4 linked regions of the Neodiprion lecontei genome follow. The protein of the gene in region 3 purifies or fractionates together with the protein of the main gene of each other region. This does not show direct contact. Links are inferred from orthologs where the notes say so. Each region holds a gene or a part of one and is shown on either strand. Other genes may lie near its edges.

Evidence for each region.
Region 1: the proteins of exportin-1 (region 3) and nuclear pore glycoprotein p62 purify together in Homo sapiens (affinity purification with western blotting; 4 studies listed by BioGRID and IntAct, with this or other methods). This does not show direct contact. The link is inferred for Neodiprion lecontei from reciprocal best matches to the Homo sapiens genes XPO1 and NUP62.
Region 2: the proteins of exportin-1 (region 3) and nuclear pore complex protein Nup88 purify together in Homo sapiens (affinity purification with mass spectrometry; 3 studies listed by BioGRID and IntAct, with this or other methods). This does not show direct contact. The link is inferred for Neodiprion lecontei from reciprocal best matches to the Homo sapiens genes XPO1 and NUP88.
Region 4: the proteins of exportin-1 (region 3) and 60S ribosomal export protein NMD3 purify together in Homo sapiens (affinity purification with western blotting; 3 studies listed by BioGRID and IntAct, with this or other methods). This does not show direct contact. The link is inferred for Neodiprion lecontei from reciprocal best matches to the Homo sapiens genes XPO1 and NMD3.

What each region holds. Positions count from the first base shown.
Region 1 is NC_060264.1:1,899,471-1,905,132, reverse strand, and holds nuclear pore glycoprotein p62, read right to left. Parts: upstream 3,449-5,662; 5' UTR 3,106-3,448; coding exon 3,024-3,105; intron 2,829-3,023; coding exon 1,757-2,828; intron 1,679-1,756; coding exon 1,432-1,678; intron 1,356-1,431; coding exon 993-1,355; 3' UTR 541-992; downstream 1-540. Other genes in the region: checkpoint protein HUS1, read left to right, coding at 1-44, 141-524; UDP-glucuronosyltransferase 1A9, read left to right, coding at 4,069-4,442, 4,512-4,857, 5,187-5,445. UniProt on the Homo sapiens protein: Essential component of the nuclear pore complex. The N-terminal is probably involved in nucleocytoplasmic transport.
Region 2 is NC_060262.1:30,565,527-30,570,375, reverse strand, and holds the start of nuclear pore complex protein Nup88, read right to left. Parts: upstream 3,069-4,849; 5' UTR 3,064-3,068; intron 1-3,063. UniProt on the Homo sapiens protein: Component of nuclear pore complex.
Region 3 is NC_060262.1:35,772,780-35,777,775, forward strand, and holds the start of exportin-1, read right to left. Parts: upstream 3,029-4,996; 5' UTR 2,892-3,028; intron 2,875-2,891; exon of another isoform or gene 2,624-2,874; intron 1,097-2,623; 5' UTR 1,060-1,096; coding exon 862-1,059; intron 95-861; coding exon 1-94. Other genes in the region: rab3 GTPase-activating protein non-catalytic subunit, read left to right, coding at 3,514-3,598, 3,723-3,833, 4,723-4,804, 4,886-4,996. UniProt on the Homo sapiens protein: Mediates the nuclear export of cellular proteins (cargos) bearing a leucine-rich nuclear export signal (NES) and of RNAs.
Region 4 is NC_060263.1:19,579,161-19,586,114, forward strand, and holds 60S ribosomal export protein NMD3, read right to left. Parts: upstream 4,879-6,954; 5' UTR 4,486-4,878; intron 3,760-4,485; exon of another isoform or gene 3,629-3,759; 5' UTR 3,560-3,628; coding exon 3,510-3,559; intron 3,390-3,509; coding exon 3,255-3,389; intron 3,164-3,254; coding exon 3,013-3,163; intron 2,917-3,012; coding exon 2,782-2,916; intron 2,678-2,781; coding exon 2,569-2,677; intron 2,471-2,568; coding exon 2,320-2,470; intron 2,235-2,319; coding exon 2,092-2,234; intron 2,022-2,091; coding exon 1,870-2,021; intron 1,781-1,869; coding exon 1,665-1,780; intron 1,579-1,664; coding exon 1,396-1,578; intron 1,320-1,395; coding exon 1,124-1,319; 3' UTR 659-1,123; downstream 1-658. Other genes in the region: sphingomyelin phosphodiesterase, read right to left, coding at 1-54, 170-254; uncharacterized protein LOC107219245, read left to right, coding at 5,214-5,358, 5,921-6,105, 6,205-6,401, 6,627-6,954. UniProt on the Homo sapiens protein: Acts as an adapter for the XPO1/CRM1-mediated export of the 60S ribosomal subunit.

The sequences.
Region 1 (5,662 bases), on a different chromosome or scaffold from region 3:
AAGAATGGGGGGAATATCAGGCTCCAATTATACCGTCGTTCGATGTATGTTGAAGAGACCTAATACTGAATCATATCGTCTGGCAACTTAGCTCGCGATCAAGTTTACTCCTGCAAATGCATCTCTATTTTTTGTTACAGGTTTCCATAGAGATGCCAGACATGAAACACTTGCGAAATGTTGTCGATCAGATGGGAAAAATGAGTCCACAACTTGTCGTAACTGCTAAGAAAACAGGGAAATTAATACTGAAGGTGGAAACCAGTTTTGCTACCGTAGCGACGCACTTTCAAGACTTGAAGGTTGGAGGAGACGATCGAGACTCAGGAGTAACGGATGAAGAAGAGGAAGAAGTTTCGGCCACCATAGATATTAGGAAATTTGGAATGTTTCTAACATGGGATATAATAAAAGCCGAAAGCGTAATTTGCAACGTAGTGGCTGACAGAATGATTAACATGCATATGAACATTGATGGACATTTAGAAATACACTATTTCATACCAGCCATTTCAATTCTGTAGAAATCAATTAGAATAATAAATTATAACTTTTTTTATATTAAAAAATTACGTATTTGTGCAACACCGGAAATTAATCGATTCAGATTCCTGATCGCCATATAATTCAAACAATTATCTCATTATGTATATGTAGACCAAGACAGTCCTCCAACGATGGACTTGCAGTAATAATGAATATCAATCTTTCTGAGATTGGTTGGAGTGCATTTTTTACTCTTTGAAAACAAAACAAAATTCATACAATATTTGGAAGTACAGCAGATATTCGGTCATGTCAATATTCCACTCGAATTGTATTCTTAATGCAGATTAAAAAATTGAATTGTGTAGTTGAATTAGAGTACCCACCGAATAAGATGTTCAACTGGCATATCTGAATTCGCTGAAAGATGAAATCGTTGACGGTCAAGTTTGCAATTCATCCAAGGTCCTATGAAAGTAGTCACTTGTTCAATGGCGACAGAGGTGTTAATTATAAGCCAAATTGAAGCTTCGCTCATGTTCCTGTCTAAAGTTTTGATGCATTTGATCAATCTGCTGTATCTTTGTTTGCAAAACTGACGTACGTTGATCGAGCCATTGCAAACTGTTCATATGTGCATTCAGTATTTTACCAATCTGGACAATCGGGTCACTTGAATCTTGAGATCTATTCGCTTCGTTAAGGTGCTCAATTATTTCTTTTAAATCTTCGGACATCTGCTTCAATTGGGTATCCAAATTTTCTGCAAGACGATAAGTGTATTCTCTCTCCGGATCTGAGGCGGATACTGTTGCCAATTCTTTTTCCAATGGAACGAGGCAGTCCTGTAATTCTCTTTGTTGACCAACCTGGAAGAAAAGAGACGTTAAAGTACACATTAACATAATTAGAAATTCGCGTTGAACAAGGGTTACTTTCACTTACCACATAATCCAGCTCGTGCTCTAATTGTTCCTGTTCTAGTTTAACCCTTTCAACTTCTTGATTTAGGGTAACAATTTTTTCTCCATTCGCAATGAGAAGTCTGTCCCAGGCATTGACCTGCGTTGCCTGATTTACAAACGCTTTTTCCTGCTCCTCTAGTTCCAGTGTCCATTTATTTATCGATTCTTCCAATTGACAGAAATTTAATCCACCTGGTTGACTTGTTGCAGCCGTCGAGGCTGTAACACTATTGTAAAAAGCAATTGTTAATCACATCCATGCCAAGAATTAAAATTTTATGAGCACTACGGATGAAAACACATACTTGGTCGTGGTCTCCAAAGATGTTTGTGGTGCGCTGGTAGGTGCCGCAGTCGAAGCGGCAGGATCTGTACTCTTTGCTAGAGTGAATCCTGGAGTGCTCGCAACCGTTGTTGTACCACCCGAATTGAAACTGGTTGCAGCCGTAACAGAGGGCATACTACCGAGCGTGAAGATACCCGAGGAAGCTGGAGTTCCTGTGGAAAATCCAGTTGCAGCCGTAGCAGGTGCAATAGTTGCCATACTACCGAGGCCAAGGCTAGTTCCAGTTGTTTTAGCTGCTTGCGTCTGCGAGCCAGGTAGATTAAATCCACTGGCAGCGCTTGCGGTTGGCGTAGCGGTAGCAGTGGGAGCCACTGCGGTACTTGGGGCAATTTGCGGAGTGTTAAAGAGACTGAAGCCTGTAGCGCTTGTCGCAGCTGGAGTAGTGCCAACTCCGGTTGTGAATCCTGATGCTGGTGTAGATGCAGCAGGTACTGTGAAGCTCTGACTTGCCGGGCGAGCAATGGTGGTAGTAGCGACTGTTTTTGGAACACCAAAGCTTATGTTGCTGGCTGGTGGTTGGCCAGATGTGGCAGCAGTCGATGCCAAATTGAAAGTAAGAGCAGAGGTCGTCATAGGTTTTGCACCAAAGCTTAAACCATGCGTAGACGAAGGCATCGCTAGGGTGCCAAGACCTGAGCTTGTATTCGGAAGAGTCGTAGTACGGAAACCTACTGATGCATTAGTCGTTGTTGCTGCACTGATCGGTGTTCCATAGGTCAGAGCCCCAGCTGGAGCCGCTGTGTTTGCTGCAGGGAGACTGCTAGCCGTTATTGCTTGCTGCTGCGGAGTTGCAAGGCCCATTAATCCTGACCCTGATCTTGCAAACCCAGTTGTTCCAGAGGACGGTGTACCGAATGCTGGAGCTGTCGCAGGAGAGGCTCCAAATGTTGCTGTTCCAAAACTCGTACTAAATGCCTGGCCAATAGATTTCGACAAGGGGTGTCCTCCTGGCTGAGCCAGGCCCAGTGTCCCCTGCTTGTTGGCATCGCCGGCGCCTACTGCTGATGTTCCAAAGGTGACTGGTTGTGCTCCTGGGTCAGAGAAATTTAAGAAATTGAGAAATGAACTAAACATAACGAATGTCAGTTAGGGAGTCGACCAAAAGTTTATTACTGGGAAGCATAAAATACAGCAATTGTGGCGCAATTAGATCAAATAGTAAAGCATGGATAAGCCAGGTGACAGAGAATCTTTCGTAGGTAGCAACGAAACGTAGGTAGGTTTACCTCCTGTGACAGGCGGGGCAGTAGTTCCTGGGGTGAACCCAGCCTGGGTATTCGGATTCTGAGCGCCAAATGTATAATTCATTTTTATTTACAATAAAGACTTCAATGCACTAGAAGGTAGCCGAATAACCTCCAAATTCGCCGAGTTGTTAATCTTTTCACCTAACTTAAGATAAAGTTTTTTTTTCCCCGATTTCGACACTCTGAAGTTTGCATCTGTAGGCACAGTGGTTTAATATTTCGTTAAAACGTATTACTCTCTACACGATCCGATGACTCTTCAAAAATTATATCGCACAGATTTACGTTAATACAGGCGCTTTTGTGTTTGACACGACTTTTCGCCCGCGCTGATGCGCAAATCGAATATTTAGACGCACGGAACGATGGAATTGGTACGGTAGTTCGATTTACGTTACATTCAAAATTGTAATACATGTAAGTTCAGGTATTAAAAAACGATCCACAAGATTTGGGTACACGGACTTTTCGGCACAATGAATTCAGAAATTCAGTTGGTTGACGATAAGTTAAATCGCGCGCGAAGCGGCAGCGCACATGGCATCTCGTGATGCGAAAAATGGTAGGGATTCATTCCACGCCCACACGTGAGATGCTGGACGAACGTAGAAGGAAATAGAGAGAAAGAGGAGAGAGAAGGAATACCGGCACAGCGAACGGCCGGTGACGGTTCTGCGTCAAGCGTATTGATACTCGAGGGTTTTTGCGTCGAACCTGAGGTTAAATTACCAAAACCCAAAATATCAGAACCATCTGGAACAAGGATAAGTGGTTGTCGATGTATTTCAAGCAGTATAATAGCCCAGGGATGAAGAACCGTGGAACAACGAAACAGTCCGATTGTCTCAAATGCGTTCATGAATACGCGTACACGTGGAAGATGTGACACATCGCAGAGTAACAGCAAAACATCCTCTGTCTCAGGGCGCGTATTATCATATCGCGAGTACGCGTTGCTGTAACGCCGGACGAGTTGGTTACGGTATGAGCCAAGTTGAGTAGGATAATTAATAACTAATCAACGATGATGCTGACTAGTTTATACGGTGCGTGGTTCTCATTAGCTTTTGTAAATCTGATAAGTGCGTCGAGTTTGGTTACGCCGCCAAAGTCTGCGGTGGTTTTGGCTTTCGAATACGAGCACGAATTGTCCTTACTCGCAAACACTCTGTCCGACGAGAACATAAACACAGTGTTGATAATACCCTCGACCTCGCGGGATCTGCTGTACGATAATTTGATCGACGTCGAAGTTGTCGAGGTGAAAGTCGACGCGGCTTTGGCAAGTACGAAGGAATCGCGGGCACTGAAAGCCTGCGAAAGTCTCCTGAGCGATGAAACGATTCAAAATTTGATTCAGGAATTTTCACCGACTTACGTTATTTCGCCTGGTTTGAGGTACAGAATCTGCGAATGAAATAGGCTCACGAACTCGACCGATTTTAAATGAAAACCATAACTTTTCAGACACGACGCCTGCGTCCTACCATGGGTAAGAAAATTCGCTTCAATTCCAGTGATTTGGACCCAAGGCTCGGAGGCTGAATCGTACGTGTTTCACCAGTCGGGAATCGCCTTGCCGATATTAACCGGTGGATTTTGGAACCGTTTATCGTCTCTTCTGGGTATCAGATCGATCGTGAAAAATGCAAATAGCAATTACGTCACTCCCGCGTTGGAATTGGTCGAAAAGTATTTACCAGCCGAAACCGACACCATAGAGAATCTTTACCGCGATGTCGATCTAATTTTTTGGGGCGCCGATACGATTCTCAGATCCGACGTGTCTTTCGTTTCTCAGATGCTGGTCGAGGTAAAGAATTTTGACTCTACCCTTGTGAGAATGATATCTACAATTTTCGACCAATTTTTAGGGAAATGGTAAATACGCATAGTTTCTCATAAAAATTTCCAACATTTCATAAAAAAAATCTAAAAGCTACTACAATTTTTAACAAAAATTATTAATTCTTTACGAAAAAACTATGCATATTTACAACTTTTTACGAAATAATACGAAATGTTCCAACTTACGTAAAAATTCGTAGTAGTAGAAATTTTCACCGTAGTACTCTTCGATTTTCTTTCCCCGTTTTATTACGCACGCGTAAAAGATTTGCTCATTTTTTTTCTCTCCCCCAGATCGGGTGTCATCATTGTCGCGGAGCACATCCGGTTCCACCGGAACTACAGAAAGAACTGATAGAACGCCGGTCAGGAACGATCGCGACGCTGCTGGACAAAGATTACAAAAATCTGATAGAAGAAATCGCCAGGGGTTTACCGCAGGGTCGTCAGGGACAAGCGGTAGTCTGGAAAATTAAAGATGTCGATTATTTGAAGGAAGAAAAGCCGGATAATTTGTTTGTGAATAAAGAAGTTATCCGTCAAGATATCATTGGTAAGTATATTGAGGTGCTGTATGTTTGTATTATCGAAAATTGTCTGATTCTTCACAAAAGTTTGAAATATACACTCCGCCTCGTGCGGCAAGAAGTGAATTAAAAAGTAGCAAAGGCAGAAAATCGGGGTGATTTAAAAAAGAGAAAAAAAAAAAAAATTAAAAAAATTGCTGTGCAATTCGCGTCTGTTCATTCCAGAATAACTGGAAATAAATC
Region 2 (4,849 bases), about 5.2 Mb from region 3:
GAGGATTTCTGAGCACTGCATGACCGAAGGGTTAAAAATTTATACGACGACGGGCTTTTCTAATCGGTAAAGTTGTGCCGATATCTGAGGTGTTTCACCTTTATAATCCAGAAAATGAAAAATAAAAATGACGAAAAAAACGAAACTAAAAAAAAAAAAAAAAAAAGAAAGAATAAACAAACAACAATAATTATCAAACTATAAATAAGGTCCGTTAAATTACAGAGAGAGCATCACTTCGGACGATTAGGAAATGCCAACGACGTCCATTTCATTCCGTTTCATTCCGTATCATAAATTCCAAGCTCTGACCCAAAGTCATTCGTTTGATGAGACACATGAACAATTCTTTAAGCGGAAAATAAATAACATCCCAGGGTTGGGTAGGGCGAGCATGCCAACCAGCAGAAGCCGGCCAACCTACCCTACAATCCCTCGTTCCACCGTCGCCGTAACGCTAACAAGAAAAAACCGAGGGGGACACATTTTAATGTCAACAATTAAAAATATTACACATACATTACTCCCCCTCGCCCCGATCCTCGTCATCTCCCCTCTGCTCCTCGCTCCTCCCTCCACCCCGACACCAACACCCATCTTTCTCTGACAAGCATACATGCTCTCACGTGATATGATAATGATACCAAAAGCTCTATATTACCCACCCACCCACCACCCCGCGGCGCATACCCACTCACAACTTGGATACTATTTTTATTTCACCCTCGTGTTTCGAGGGTGTGTTACATTAGGCCTCCGGGCTAACCCTTTCTTATTACCGGTCGTCATGTCACTGGAGCTTTGCTGTCATGTGGAGATTATGCCCGTCCGCGTTCGTAGAAACACTCGTCAGACGGGGTACGCGTATCCCACCTACACCCATATAAGTTTGCCTTTGACTTTTGTTTGCTCTCGACACCGCGCTCCCGTAATAAGCCCTCGAGTTTCTGGATGACCAGCTATGGTCTACCCGCCATTAGTATACGGTACCGTACGTATTACGTCTCCATGTATGAGCGTGCGGCGGGACTCCGATGAAAGGCTACGTACCTATCAACCGCTTAGTCCTAAACCCGCAGCATTGCCGTCTAATAATAAGGGATGCCTGTAACGAACGATTTCTTTGGCTCTTGATGCAAATGGATTCCGATCACCTTCTCTTGGATTGATGTTCGAGAACAGTCGAATGAAAAAGGTTTCCAACAAAAGTTCGATGACTATCATTTTTCAACATATCGCTGGTGTCAATTTTTCATTCACATTTTCTCGCAATTTTCAGATACCTGTTTGACTGTTTTAAAGGACGCAAGCCCCGTAAGATTACCCTGCGTCAATTTACAGGAGAACAAATTTGAAAATCCAATGAATACCATGAACATGGGGCGGGACGTCGATTAATTTCCTCGAGCAACGATATTCCGAGATTCCGAGGTTATCCTGCGGGAATAGATCGATAGCGGTACGGGCAGTCCCTCGTTTATTTTCATCGTGGAAACGTGGACGGCAACGTACGGCCAAGATGGAGGCGAGTGTAAGATAGAGAGTACATAGCGAGTCCGTATAAGGTGGAAACGTATCTATTAATGCTTTGTATTCCGCGTAAGATGTAAGATGCGCCCCAGGAGGACCGGATTCATTTATTTATCAGCCTCGCGTGTCTGGCGTGCCGATACTCAATCAAGTCCGGGACCATTTGTCACCCGCCCAGATCCGCGAATTCGTCTGTGCTCCGACTTCCAATCGTCGGTCTCGTTACGTTCCTCGATCGCCGTGGGCAGGCTGGTCTTCGCCTGGATGTTATCGGATATGGGAATAGACTACACGGGTTAGCAGAGAAAAAAGAAATTTTGTTTTCGAATTTCTATTGAAGTAAATAGATTTCGATTCTATACGTCGATTTATAACCGAAACCTTTATTTATTACTTATAAAATTTGTTTTTGTCGTTTTTACGTTGATAAGCAAGGTTTTAAGATTTTGGTTGACAGCTGTAATATGGGTGCCTATTCGGAAGAACAAGGAGAACGTTTTCATCAAGATGAGATGGACTTTATCGGAGACGTATCATGAGACCATTGTGGGAGATTACGTTTGGGGTTTGATACGAGAAAGTCCGTACGAGAATCGAAGAAGTACGAGAAATGTTAATTCTCAAACTTTGTTTACCAATTCTTTTACATTTGTAATTTATTATTAATTATTATTTTTGAATAAAAGTGATTTAAGTGCAATACTGGAGTTTATTTACTTGTTACTTACAAAAAATATTTGAGAAAATAGATAATTTTGCTTAAAATCCGAAATATCGTTCTGGTTTCTTCGAAAACAAACTTTATCTAGGAAAACTATTCTTTCATTTATAAGTTGCATAGAAGAAATCAAAACTTGATATCTAGCACCCTGACTCGAAATTCGTGTTGATCCATGCTATCGGCCACAAGCCGCAGGATCACGATGTAAAGTGATAGAAATTATTTCGGCTCCGCAGATTTCGAGTCTTCGAGCGATTTCGAGCGATTGACGCTAACGCGCACCGACGAAGCTCCTCTACGGCACCGAATTGACATTTACATATGCCTCAGCGTCGTACTCGTCGTATAAGAAGTGATATGCTAGGTTAAGAACACAGATCCTTCCTCCCTTCCGACGTATGCAAAACTTCGCGTCTGAGTGACAGAACGCGTATAAGGAATATATTCTCCCTCTAAACCGTTGTGTATTTTTCTATAGCGGCAAATAAATATGCGAATACCCATGCCTGTGTACGTGTGTGTGAGATTGCGTATGCAGGGGAGACAGACAGACAGGCAAGTCAGACGTCGGAAGTAGTAGGAGACGGCTTCCGATGGCCCGCATTGTGCTCAAATCGCATGCAAAACGGACGAACGCGAACATAATACCAGAGCTTTTCATACTTCACATTCAATCGAAAAGTTTACCATCCGCAATGGATGTCACGAACTTCAGCTGCAAGAGGGTTACGCTTATAATATTGCAAGATTCGCTTCTCATTGCGGTCTATTTTCTTAATCAATTCCTCCCGTTGGATTTCAATTGGAATAACAATTCCAGTCATGTGAAGAGCATTTTTTATTCTATGACGAATATGTTTATTATAATTGACTCATAAATTATATTCTCATTACCTACCAATCGTTTTGATAAATGATTTCAGGAGGGGATTTGTGTATATCCACTCAGGAAATACTCTTGATTCAATTTTTTCAACGACAATAATTTGTATACGTATTTTGCAGCTGATTGGGAAATCGTAACAAAATCCTCCGGATTGTGGTGTCAAACTTTTCCGTTATAAAAGGGCCTTGGAATTTTTTTTAGGTTGCATCGATTCAACGTTTTCAGAGTTGTATATTCAATTATCGGGATAAAATAATACCGGTTGTCAAGACTGGATATTTTTTTCCCCGTGTCGTGACAATATTCTGTTAACTCTCTGCCAACTTGGAGTTACTTCATTCCTTGTTTTCTTCTTTTGCCAATGCGCAATTTTCCCCGTCAAGAGATTGCCAAGGGTGTTATTAAATCACAGTATCGCCTTGTGGAACGAAGGGTAATAAATTTCCGATGAAAATCTCTAGGTAATTTTAAAATATAAACGCAACGCGCAGGTATCGATACGAGATACAAAACTCGCGCGGTAGGATATTTTTCACAGTCGACGATCAATTATAACGACGCGTGTAAACGCGTACAAGCAACACAGAGGCCAGTGGGTACAATGTATTTGCATAATGATTGCAATTATATTGCTCAACCCCCGGCGCCCCTCACTCACTTGTAATCTATGAAACCTTATATACACAGTCGAGACGATAACGCCGCAACGCTACGGAGACACGACAGGCGACCGTTAAAATTCTCTCGCGAAAGCTTCTCGCTTTTCGCTTCTCGCAAGCCCCGCGAAAAGGGGTGAGAAGTCGACTCTCCTGTCGGTAGTACAGAAACTTGCGAAAAGCGGTGACGCGCCGATGTCGGACTCCCTTATCGACCACGCTCGCTCTCCACGCCTTACCAACTCTCCCCGGTAGAAAGGGGTAGCTGACAACTGTGCCAGGGGACACTTTCTGACCGTATCCGTAAGGTCTCGCCAACTCGGACGCGAAATTTTCCTCCGTCGAGAACGGGATTAAATAAATACGGTTAAAGATAGCGGGAGGAAATTTTTAATCATCAATCATGCCTGGTGGGGCTGCAGCAAATAACACCGGGTTGCAATTTCGAAATGAACAAGTGTCTGGCCTACGGCGTGCGGGTGTGCAGGTTACTCGGTGTGGGCATTGTATAGATTTTTATGCAAATTTCATTGATATCTGATCGCGGTTGCGATACTGCGGCGAACATGCGGTACACGGTCGCGATACGTTTCTCGGGAGGCTTGCCAAGGCTCCGCATGCCTGCCCTTTCGTACCTTCGATAGCCCCGTTTTGATTGGCCGCCGTTCTTCTAGCCGGTTTTTTCATTGGTCCGCAAGCGCCGGCGAAGAGCTTAACGAGACCTGCAAGTTGAATCGCGATTATCGCAAGCGCGGCTAGCCTCCGACTCGAGGGGTTGTTTAATTAAATATATGTGTTTTGGAAATTATGGGTACCAGCCGGGAAGTGGGTAGATCGAGTTTATGAGAAATCCATACTTCCATACGCCTAGCGCATAACATACCGTAGCTGGTGCCCGTTAAAACTGTCAGGGCCTAAAGTGCATATAGCACGAGATGCAAAAACCCTCCAGCCCGCGGGCGTGCATTTTACCGGATTCTCAACCCCGACCAAACTCGGACGGTATTCCTCGAGGAATTTTTATCTTTTCCAAGCTTGGGTATTATTCCGTATTAA
Region 3 (4,996 bases):
TAATACCCTCACATTGATTCCTTGGTAGAACTTTCCACCGTGTCTTGATAACCTGCTCTAAGATCTGTAGTGCGTAGTACTTTGTTTGTTGATTCTAAAGAATTAATGAAAAAGTTAGACGCATTCCTGTTTCATTCACATACTCTGTTCATTCAAGATTCTTTATTTCGGAGAGAAAAATGAACATCATAATGACCATTTTTTTTTTTTAAATCACTGTGAAATTGACATGATCATACTAAACTTTCAGAGTTTTGAGGTTTTTCAGAACTCGTAATTTAATTCTATCTTGATTCAACTGTTTCAAGATTGAAATTTTATACAAATTGTTAGAACCACTGAAAAAAATTAGATGCTGAAGGTTTCCACTTTTATTCTGAAGTTTACTTATTCCAAAATGTTAACTTTAGTGAGAACTATTAATTCTGTGCAGCTGAACTTTTTTCTTTGTCTAAAATAAATTCCAACTATCCAAAAAAAATAAATTGATACTCTTCTTACTTTCTGGTCTATAGAATTTCGCAATCAATTTTAAATTTTCGAAATCACCAACTTAAATGGCTAACTATAATAATTTGATATTTTTCTTTGTTGCAATACAATGAAAAATTGAAGGGAATTATTTTTATTTGGTAATTGATGTCAAATAGACCAAAAAGGCAACGGTGCTAAATTTGGTGTGAATAACTTTCAGCTAAGAGTTACAGAATTAACCAAATCATTTATGGTGATGCTAGTGGAAGGCATGACCATGTCTCTCTACATTGACGGCTGTTGATTATGAAATGATTACTTGAATAAAAAGATTTTCACACTTTTCATTCAATGGTCAAAGTTTTCTCTACAATTGGCATAACTCACCTGTGAGTATTCTAAGATGGTGTCAACTCGTGTCCACGCATCTGGATGTTCTTTGAGGGTGGTTAGCACTTCCTGAGCAACACGCTGTTGTTCACCAACCCCAGTATACATGCATCCGACTATATTATCCAGGAGCGTGATGTCCAGCTTTTGGTTGAAGTCCAATAACTTGGACGCTTGCTCTGCAAGTGTCGCCATTGCACTCACTTATTACCCTTGCTTTCACACACTCAATCTGCACACAAAAAAAATATCATTATTTGCATTGTTACTTGTAATGCGTCAACAGTGATGAGCCTGCACTACGACTCTAGTAAATATTTTAGTTTAGAGGTTGCTGCTGATCAAATAGAGACTAACAGTTGCATGTAAACAGTAGAATTGTGGTAACTAAATTTTAATGAATACTGATAACTTATAATCATAACATTCTAAACAAACAATATTTCCTAGGCAATCTTATTTACATATGGGTACCTAAAAACAAAGTGCCCAACTGAGGGACTAATTTTTTCGAGTTTCTTTTTACCTAACATAATTTTTAAGCATAGCTCGTGCAGTGTAGAAAGACACAAAAACTCAGGTTTTAGAATATATGTGAAAATTTGCGAATTATGATAAATCCGGAAGCATATGGTCTGACAACGTAATTTCAGCTTGATAGAATAAATAAACAAAAATTACAATGTAAAAATGTTCATTGACCGCTATAGAATACGTTGTTCCCAAGTTGTTTCGGTGTGCACTTAAACAGCGTTTGTTAGCAAATTTGATAACTGATCAATATTTGCCATGAAGTATGATGCACTTGCGGTTCAATCATTACAATTTCAATAATATTGAAATATGAGACTACATGGAAAGATTCCAAAGTGCTTAAGAACAAAATAAGCAAAAGAAAAATAATGAAAACATCATTAACTTTCGAATTGATTTCTCAATGATTAATTAAAATTAGATATCAAAGTTTAAGCACATGCCCCGACATGTGTAATCACGTATGTTTGTTTATTCAATGAGGACAATACATTACTTGTTTTTAGATTAAATTTCAACGCAACAACTCTCAATCTAAGAACATTTTCATTTACTGATACAAGATTTAAAAATTTGTAAGTACGATGCTTGGTGCACCTAGTTTCCATCCAATTTTTGATACCGATAGCATCGAAATTGATCTTGCTAAGGAAACATGCCCAAAAAGTCACTGAAATTCTGAAATCTGAATCTCAAAGAACCTTCAAAAAAGATGCATCCATTATTCTAAACTTCATGCCATACATAATGGGATGGTGCTTGATGTATACTTTGTCTATTCAGAAGAGAGTTGGGAAGGGGAGGGAGGGGAGGGGGGATCATGTGCCATGATTAATTTGGGGATAAATAAATTTTCCGAACAAATGTTGAGAATTCAAGGAGCCCGATTCCTCCACGTGCCGAAAAAACGGAAAAAACCAAAAATGCTAGGAAGCGTGCCGCAGGGGAGGTCACCGCACTGCGACCGACCGAACAACCGACCTAACCTACATCTGACAATCGCAAACAAGGTTATGTGAATTTCGGATTTTGAAATATAGTGTAATATTTAGAGTGGAATCGGATGAGTAGAGGAAACGATACTAACATAATGAGACTCGACGACGACTACCGGAGTTAGGTTAAATAGTGTAAATTCGGTCGTCCAGGAAGCCCGGCTGCCGTTTTTCCATTGCGTCGTTGCCCGTTGGGCGAAGGTGATTTGAGATTGAAGGTTTTGACCTACCGTATAAACTCTTTCATACAGCTTCCCGTCCCCGGGGTAAAAAAAAGGACGTTTTATTTTCTTTCTCTCGCCAGTCGTTACGTTTCAGAGTAATTAACCACAAGCACAAAAGGGCTAAACACACAAGTCGACGATTCCCGCGCGCTACACACTTCTCGCTCCTCGTTCCACACACTCGCAGTTTCGCTCTTTCTCACTCATTTCTCCAACTCTCTACTTTCTCTCTCTTCCACTATCAGAATCAAATACACTAAAATAATATACCCACCGAGGCCGATGTACGTCAAACCTACTTTCCCCAGGTTTCATGCGAATTTCATGTGATTTTTTCCACCGATAATACGAGCAAACCCGTCAACTATGTCGTCGCGAAACCCAACCTAAAGATTTTCGAAAATAATAACAAGATGGCCGAAAATTTTACGCGACAAATGCGGAGAAACAACGTTCACCATTGGTAGGCTACACCAATTTCGACCAATCCTCAATCGCATAAACGATAGTTTAGTATGACGTCAGTGGACGTCACATGACGTCACGGAAACACGTGTGCTCATTTTTACCTTGTAATAAAAATTTACGGAAGGATTCTGTTTTTAAGTGTATCATATTTCGAAATTGTATTTATTTCTATTCGGCGCGCGCCAAAATTTATCCGGACATAATGTACGCTGCATCTATCCTCTCTTTTAAGGAACTTAGAACGCGTTATTTGAAATTCCGCAATATATACTAGCATTCTCAGAAACATCGTGTCATATGATCTGACAATTCTACTAACTTTTCAGTCAATTTCCATCAAACTTTATTCCGCTACAGTCTGCATATTCATGCATATTCGAGATGAGAGTCATTTAACAACATATTTATAATAAAGTGTCAGCACGAAAATGTCGTGCCAAATCAAAGGAATCGCTAATTTGGTCGATTTGCCCAACGTCAAGAATTCCTTACTCAGAGATGCTGGCTCCAAACGTAAGAAAATCCCATTCAATTAAAATCTCAACTGTCATCAATAACAGTAACCACTAAGGTTATCCAATAAACAATATGTACGTTACACCCATCTATATCTACATATTTATACCCAATCTTTCAGTGGATTATGTACCGGATAAAGAACTACCTCTTCAAGATCTTATTATCTCCTTATCACCAGCAGGGGATGTCCTCGCAATTGCTTGGAATAAAAATATGGTCATTCTGACGTGTAAGTTTACAGCAAAAACTCATTGAGCAACAGTACAAGTTTTTGCTTATCACCACAACATCCTCTTGATGACTTTCTTATACAACAAAAGGAGCGATACAATCATCTCGACCTGCATCTGATTTATTACCGATGATAGAATCACAGAATTCTTCATACGAAATAAACTTTTTAAAAACACACAAATAAAATCCACAGAATCGATGATAGTTCCTAGTTCAATAAAACTTACCCCGCTTTTGACAAGCTTATATCGCAGAGCTCAAATAGAGTAGCGGTGATGTTTTCGAATAAGCCTATCAAACTCATTCTAGCTTACGAGCTTATATGAACAGTTTTTCCCTACATTAAAAAGAGGTATAAGCAAAATAAAATGCCTTTCAAGAGCCTTTTAAATGCATAGCTGTTTCCACACCACAATTGGGCTAGATATAACTTTATTCTGTGTCAAACGACAAAACGTTAAATAGTACAAATTTTGTAAGCATAAGAGACACAAAGTCATACTATATATATTTTTGCAATAATAGAGTAAGAATATACAAAATGTTAGTACGTGAACTGAATATATTCAATTTGCGAAGCCAAATAGCTCGGTAAAGTTCTTCATAAATTTTAGATCCATCTTCAACCATTATCTTGCTAGTATCACGTCTAAAATTCAAGATTAAGGTGCCGATTACTGGACCTAAAATATTTTCAATTTTTCATCACGGCATAGTAGAAAACTTAATAATACTGAGTATTCAAAAATTTTAACATCTTTCTAATACTAGCCAATGATTGATATGCCTGTATTATACTATAAGCATTAAAGTTCATTTCATACAAATAACGACAATTAATTCCGTAAACGTTGTAATTTTTCACACACTGTTTGTCAATACAGCAAAATGGGATTCGCATGAACCTGGAGATGTGAAAATGAAATTTCATCTTACATGGAGTGGAGATGTAACGGATGAGGAGAAGTAAGTTTTTCTAATTTCGTTGGGCTAGAATGATATTCCACCACAGATTGGGGTTATTCAACAACTTTTATTTTGTTTCAGTGAACAGATAACATGTCTGGCATGTCTACCTCTTATATCTTTAGGCAAAACCAGTGCTGGTAGCGGTCCTGATTGGACCTGTATGGCCGTTGGATTTTCTAGTGGGTTTAT
Region 4 (6,954 bases), on a different chromosome or scaffold from region 3:
CTCCGGTCTTTGCTAATACATCAACTTCTGCGGTGATTGCTGCTACAAGCCTCTCTAGAACATTCAAAATTAGTTTCAAAGGAAAAGGATGAAAGATTACTTAAATTGCTACTGATCGTTATTTTGTTGCAGTATTAATTATTATGAGAAAAAAAATAAAATTACTCACCTTCGGCAGTAGAAATGGTATTCGACACCACATTCTGTACGAAAAGGGTTGTTGCAATAGCAACGAAAAGCCATGAAAGCTTCATGTTGCCACAGAAATGAGACACTCCTCAGATACAACTATCAATATATATTAAACGGAGTTCAACAATAATAATAACAATGATTACCAACACTTCAAGTGGATTAGCGCATAATAGGTTCCACACCCTCATCTGCTGATTTTACACAACATATCATGCTACATTCACATGGAATTGTCATTCATTCTTGATAATACCGCCAGATATTATGACGACTCGTTCGTCCACGTTGATGATTATTTATTGATAATATACACCTGTTTCTGCAACAGCCTGATAGAGATTGATTATCAGAGCAAAAAATCTGTTATTGTCACTCCGACACTTGAATTTTTGATTGGAAATATTGATCACGTTTAAATCACTGATACTTGATTGTATCACTTGTTATACAAGTAAACGTGAATTTAGAAGCTCGTATCAGATGCCTTTCATTCAACAGGATAGGTAAAACTTGTTCATAAGTAGGATTACAAATTGACTCGATTAAATCGCTTATACATTAAACCCGTTTTTTAAACCGGTAAATTTAAGTAGGGGTTTAAAATTAGCAGATTCCACTTTCGCACAGCCAAGTATTATATTTGTAACCCACTTTCCATCAACATTCATAAATATATTTCCGTACTTTTGCAATATATGAAAAAAGTAAGTTCCGTGCAATATAGGAATCTTGTCTTCACATTTTATTTTAGCTACAAGAAAATTATAAATTTGTCAACGTAAGTAATGCTTAAATTTATAGCTTATCTTGAAGTGAATTTATCAGCAAATATGAAAACAATATTCAATGTTTTTTTTCAACCTATTTTAAAGTTGTGTGTACATCTGTAATATACATAAGTAGGTAATAATATCTGTATTGTTACGTTTTATTGATAGACCTCAGCCATGTCGGTATCATCTATCACAAGATCGTCGAGCATTTCTTCAAGAGTAATTTGTGGAATGCTTGGATCTATTTCGTCTGTGTCTACAGGCATCTGCTTGCTGGTATCTCGGAATATATTTATATTCTGTCTCATTTCTGGGTCTTCTTCTAATTCATCCAAAAACTCGTTGTACTCACTGGAAGTATGGTTCAATTGAATGCTCAAAAAACAGTATACTGTAATCTAAGTAATGATAATAAAGAGGTTCATACTTGTTCTCCGTACTCATGCTGACCACCTCTTCAGCCAAGTGTTTCAGTTTCCATACTCTGGCTCGACGGCGTGCCAATTTATCATGACCATAGAACTTTTTCACTAGAATTACATCAGGGATCAAATCTCCATCTAGTTTTTCAAAATTCGTATCATTTATGTTGCTGTCTCCTACTGCATATCTGAAATTCAAATATCATAGCGCAATAGTTGCAACAATTTGTTCAATGTCTCAGATGTAAGAATAATTGAGCTTAGATCAACATACCCAAGAGCAGAATCACCCGGTTTAAGGATGTATCCCAAATGCGTTCGCGTGTGAATAGTGTTCTCGCTTATTCCAAGCTCTGAAGCTTTGACAAGCCAAACGTCTGATACAACGTGCTGAATAGTGAATAAGGAAAACGATAACTCAGAAACTAAATATTTAACGAGTCTAATGAGGATTTGATTCATTGATTCAATTTATTTACCTTATTAGATACTGCGCCTTGCCCAGGAAATATTTTTTTATCTTTCTCTTTTATCGGCTCAATATCAATTACCACATACTCTGTAAGCTGCTTTGGATTGCAGATACTGTTGAACGGATATCGCCAATACGTTGTGGCATTAATTTCTGCGACTGTTAAAATTTGCTGAATTAATGGAACCGAATTATTTCCATTGAATGTTTTTTACTCAGTGTCACTTACTTTGTCCTGATGAAACGTCCATGAGATGAATAACGTTAGTTGTTCTGTAAACAAGACAGATCGGACTGATGTTTCCCAAGTGATGTGTTAATTTCTTAGGTAGACACACCAGGCTGTCTTTAGATATGGGTACAATTTCTACGCTGCAATGATAAGAAGTTTACTTTTTTTTTAAATTCCACTTCAGAGAAGTAGTGGAATTCAGGTTGATAAAAACAATTGCTCTACCTGAATGTGAACTTGTAGTTATAAACATTACTATGAATATCGTGTGAAATTAATTTCTTTGAGTGATGAGAGCGACAAGGCAATACTGCACCAAGGAAATCGATCATCTTTCGCGCTGCACTTTCATTGGCATAGTAAAAATCCAGACCATCTAAATAAAACCACATATTTTTTAATCAGCTTATTTAGTTCACATGGAATCAGCAAAACGTACAAAGGAAGAACATCACTAAAGTTCTCGATTTTTACCGTGAATCGGCTTGATGCCCAATGTCTGATCATGAGCTTTGTGCTTCAAAATGAGCTGCTCTAAGTAGAAAAATGTTTTCTTATTTATCGCTTTTTGTCGTACTTGTACCTGGAATGAAAAACCTCTTTCCTTACTATTCATACTTGCATCTGTGATTTTTTAAAATTAAATATTCAATGTCTGAGTATATGTATATTAATTAATAAACCTACAGAGGCACGCCAGTAATCTTGGGCCTCACTGCGATGGCAATCATCACACATCTGATGATTGACTACATATTCGACAACAAACACTTGTTGCAGAACGGTACCACCCATCACCTCAGCGTGAACAGTTAGTTTGACCTAATTTGAAAACATCATCAAAGTGTATCACATATGTTTTTTCAAACGAAATTGGCATTTAACATAATTGGTGCGTTAATTATTAACTATTCATACTTTCAGTCTCTTTGAGTGGGGTTCTGTCCAGATAAATCCGGCATCTATGAGTTTAACACGATTCAAACCCTTCAATTTCTTGAGACACAAAGATAGGAGCTCACGAGATTCTAACGCTGCGTGTATCCATTCAGCAGGAGGCTGCAAGTACCTGTTTATCATTTTTGTTTAATATTGTCCGATCTCATTGACTATACATGTGAATAATTCTGCAGTCTCTTGCACTATGGTTGTTCTCTTACCTTTCGCATCCCTTGCAGAAATGCAATGTCGCCTGTTTGGGGATACCGTCGGTTATGTCAACTCTTGTTCGCAAACAGGCGACACACATGTTGGCTGGGTTTGGTGAGATCGGTACTCCGCATTCACAGCATAAGCTACGAAGGAACACAGTAATATTATAAGTTGAGCAAGTCATTTGTCATGGTAAGAATTCAAAGCAACGGAAATACAAAGAATGCTCATAACATTATTGGTTAAGAAACCCTTTCACTCACATGTGTGCCGCGGATTCTTTCGGCATAGCCGATTCATCGATGTATTCCATTTTCGATCAAAGAACTGGATTCGATCGCAACCTTTTAGAAAAGAGAACTCCAATACCCTTTTTATTTAACTGAAAGCGGTAAGTTGGAACAATCAAAACTTCACCAGCACGTGCTCGGTCATCGGAGTGCATCGGACCACAATAGGCAGGTAACGTTTCGTTAGTACGCAGCGATGCTGCTAATTAGCACGAAAATCGTAACGTGACCAAAAGATGATCAGAGTCGCTCATCTACAAGCAGCATACTCTTAAGCCATATCTCCTATACACCAATGCTGACCACGGTCTTACACATATATATATATATCAGTGCTCTTATCTGTCCATAGACTTTGAAAATTGTAAGGCTATCTCACTCTGACCAATAATTTGGTTCGAATGGCGTGTTCCGAAATATACTATCAGTAGTGTGAAATTACCGCAAGAGAGAAAGCGCTAGTAAAAATCTGAAAAGAACAAGGAAGCGAGATAACTATCGGTGCCGGCATTACATTTTGGAACACGCCTGTGAAAAGTGAAGAGAGACTTCTTGGAGGAATGCCGCGCAAGAACGCGAGCGCGACTGAGGCGTTCGTGTGGACCCGTGGTCCGTAAGTAATTGTGAAAATATTCCCGGTTTCAAGAGACTGAACCAAAGTTAGAAAAAAAGAAAAAGAAGAGTTAAAAATTAGTCGTTTAAGAAGTTCATTGAAAGGAAAAGGTGTAGAAGTGTTGTAAAATGCTGGGGGACATTTGTGTGCGTAGCGTATTGTTTGACAGTGAGTATAATACGCGTGTGCGACGAGCTTGTGATAAAAAGTAAATACGTAGAGTCAGTGATTAAGCGGGGCGCTATAATATTAGTGTGTCGTAATGATTACTGTACACTCAGCTCGCGGTACTTCTTTTAAAATGATCGGTGCCCAGTTGGAAATGGTTGGGAATACCTATGCTGGATTGTCGGCGAACCGCGGCGAGGATGATGCAGTCTAGTTATACCGCTCTGCTTGGATGCTCTGACTTGCGATGCCCACGGTTGTGATAGTTTTTCTGGCATAGTCGTTGGTTTGCACTCTGCACACGCAGACGCGGCATCAACATAACACTATCACCACTACTACCAACAGCACACCACCTTTAATCATCAGGGAGAATAATCGCGGGTGTTATATCAAACTCTGCACTATAAGAAAATAACTAAATAAACAAGTTATCGAAACATTGACGTATATAAATAAGTACGCAACATACGTAGGAAGTTACGGATCGTGTTGTATGCGTAAATATGAAGTGGTGTCAAGTGTTATTTGATTAGTGCGCGTCGGTGTTTTGACCCTCCCCGCTCCTCACATCCCCTCCTCGGTAACCCCTCCCCGCCCGCACCGTGACGCTCAACAAACACCTTCGCACATCTCAGTGCGTGTGTAAGTGGTGTTATATCCATCCGTGAATCGCGGACGTGCGTTGGTGAGATTTTCGGTTAGTTTTTATTACCGCGCGGAGGTGTTGAAGGTGCGTAGCCACCTAAAATCAAAACTCATGGTAAAATTGTAACGACGTTCGGTCCGTGCGAGCGTCCGAACAACACCGAAGGTCCCGATGTTGAGTCGACAGGCCGCCTAGCGTAGTACTCGAAGTACTCGACAGCTCGCGATCAAAGCAAGCGGCAGGAAAAATGGCGTCGGATAACGAAGCCTCCTGCGTTAGTGACCCAAATTTCGCGGTAATTTGCTCGTTCCTCGAGTGTTTTGGTAAATCATGCGGCATTGAGTACCCGGACATAGCCTTACTTCAGGATATGGTAGAAAACGCCCAGGAAGGTGAGTACGCTCCGATTTCAGTGTCAAACTTTGTTTTTCGAGGCCCTAAGGGACTCGCGATTTGACAAAAGTCGCTTAACGTTTATTTGCTTTGCCCTATTCGCTGTACCGCCTCTGCGTGCGCATTTTCATCCCACTTCCACGATCTTTACCTCAATGAAATTTTTTCTTCGCCTACTACGATTCATCGTTATCGCTTAGCGTGTATTTTTCAATCTGATAATGTTGACCGCGAAAATTGCCGCCTGTATTGACAGATGGATATTATTTTTTTTCTATTGTTTATTATTTTCTCATGTGCTGCCACCTCTCACTTATTTATGATGAACATGTGACAGAAATCAGAACTAAAGCACACCACTTATAATTTCAATTGATAATTGTTATAATTGCTACTCAATCACGAATTATAAAACCCCTTAGCATCGCTGGATGTAAATATTTCCTTTCATATTCATTACCAAGGTCACAAACAATACAAACAAATTAGGATTACTTGCGTACAGCCGTTGAATTAAAACTTATAAAAAGAAATGATTTTAATCTGTGTGGGTTTTTACAGTACCACAACAGTTGATAGACCTGCACATAAAGCTGTTAAGAAAAACGCGCAAGACTGTATCCGCAGAAAAATGGGAACGAGCTCTAGTGAAATTTTGTCATACATATTCAAACCAAGATGGATGGGAGCTCGAGCGTTTCGGCTACAAGAAAGCTCGGATTGCCGTCAAATTGCGGCTTCTGAAGGTAATTGATATCAACATGTTGTCTAAGTTTGACAATCTTTTTTTCTTTCAAATCACACTCCTTGCCCTACTAAACAATTTTTATTAAATCAATATATAGGTTCTTCTTGAGGCGCAGTTTGACTTGAATCAAAGGTTCAAAAACGAAGTAAACAAGTTGGCTGCGAGTGAGTTGCGAGTCGAACCTCTTGGTCGAGATAAGTCTGGCTTAGCTTACTGGTGTCAGCTGGATGAAGAATGTAACATAAGAGTTTACCGCGAAGACTTGGACGAGGAGAGCTGGCAGCTTGTTGCGAAGTAAGTAAAGTTTTTGCCAAGTTTAATTGATTATGAGACAGATCTTCAAAGTCTGTGTTACGCGCTTATTGTTTTTAGCAAAACTTTGAGAATTTTAAATTAGGCCTGTTGAACAAAGGCGTACTTATATACTGGGAGTTAGTTTACCAATCTTCTGCACAGTTGTAAATCGTATTTCTATAGCACCTGTAAAGAGGAAAATCTGTTTTTCTTTTTCTAAACCAGGGATCGCGACGGGGTGGTCAGTCTGATTAGCACATTGACAAATGGTGAGGCTGGAGATATACTAGAAACAGAGGATAGCAATAGCCTTGAAATATCAGAGAAGCCGATAATTGATACAGGTCAAGTGACAACCTCGCCAAGCGTAGAGGAGGAAAATAGAGATAATATAGAAGTGGCTGTTGTCGAGGGAAATGGCAAAGAAGATGCAGAAAGTTTGGAGGAAGACCTAGATGAGGAAGAAGATGAAGAGGAGGATGAAGAGGATAAGGAGGATGACCAAGGTGAAGAAAAAGAGGAAAACGGAAAGGTGGACGAAGAGGAAGAAGGC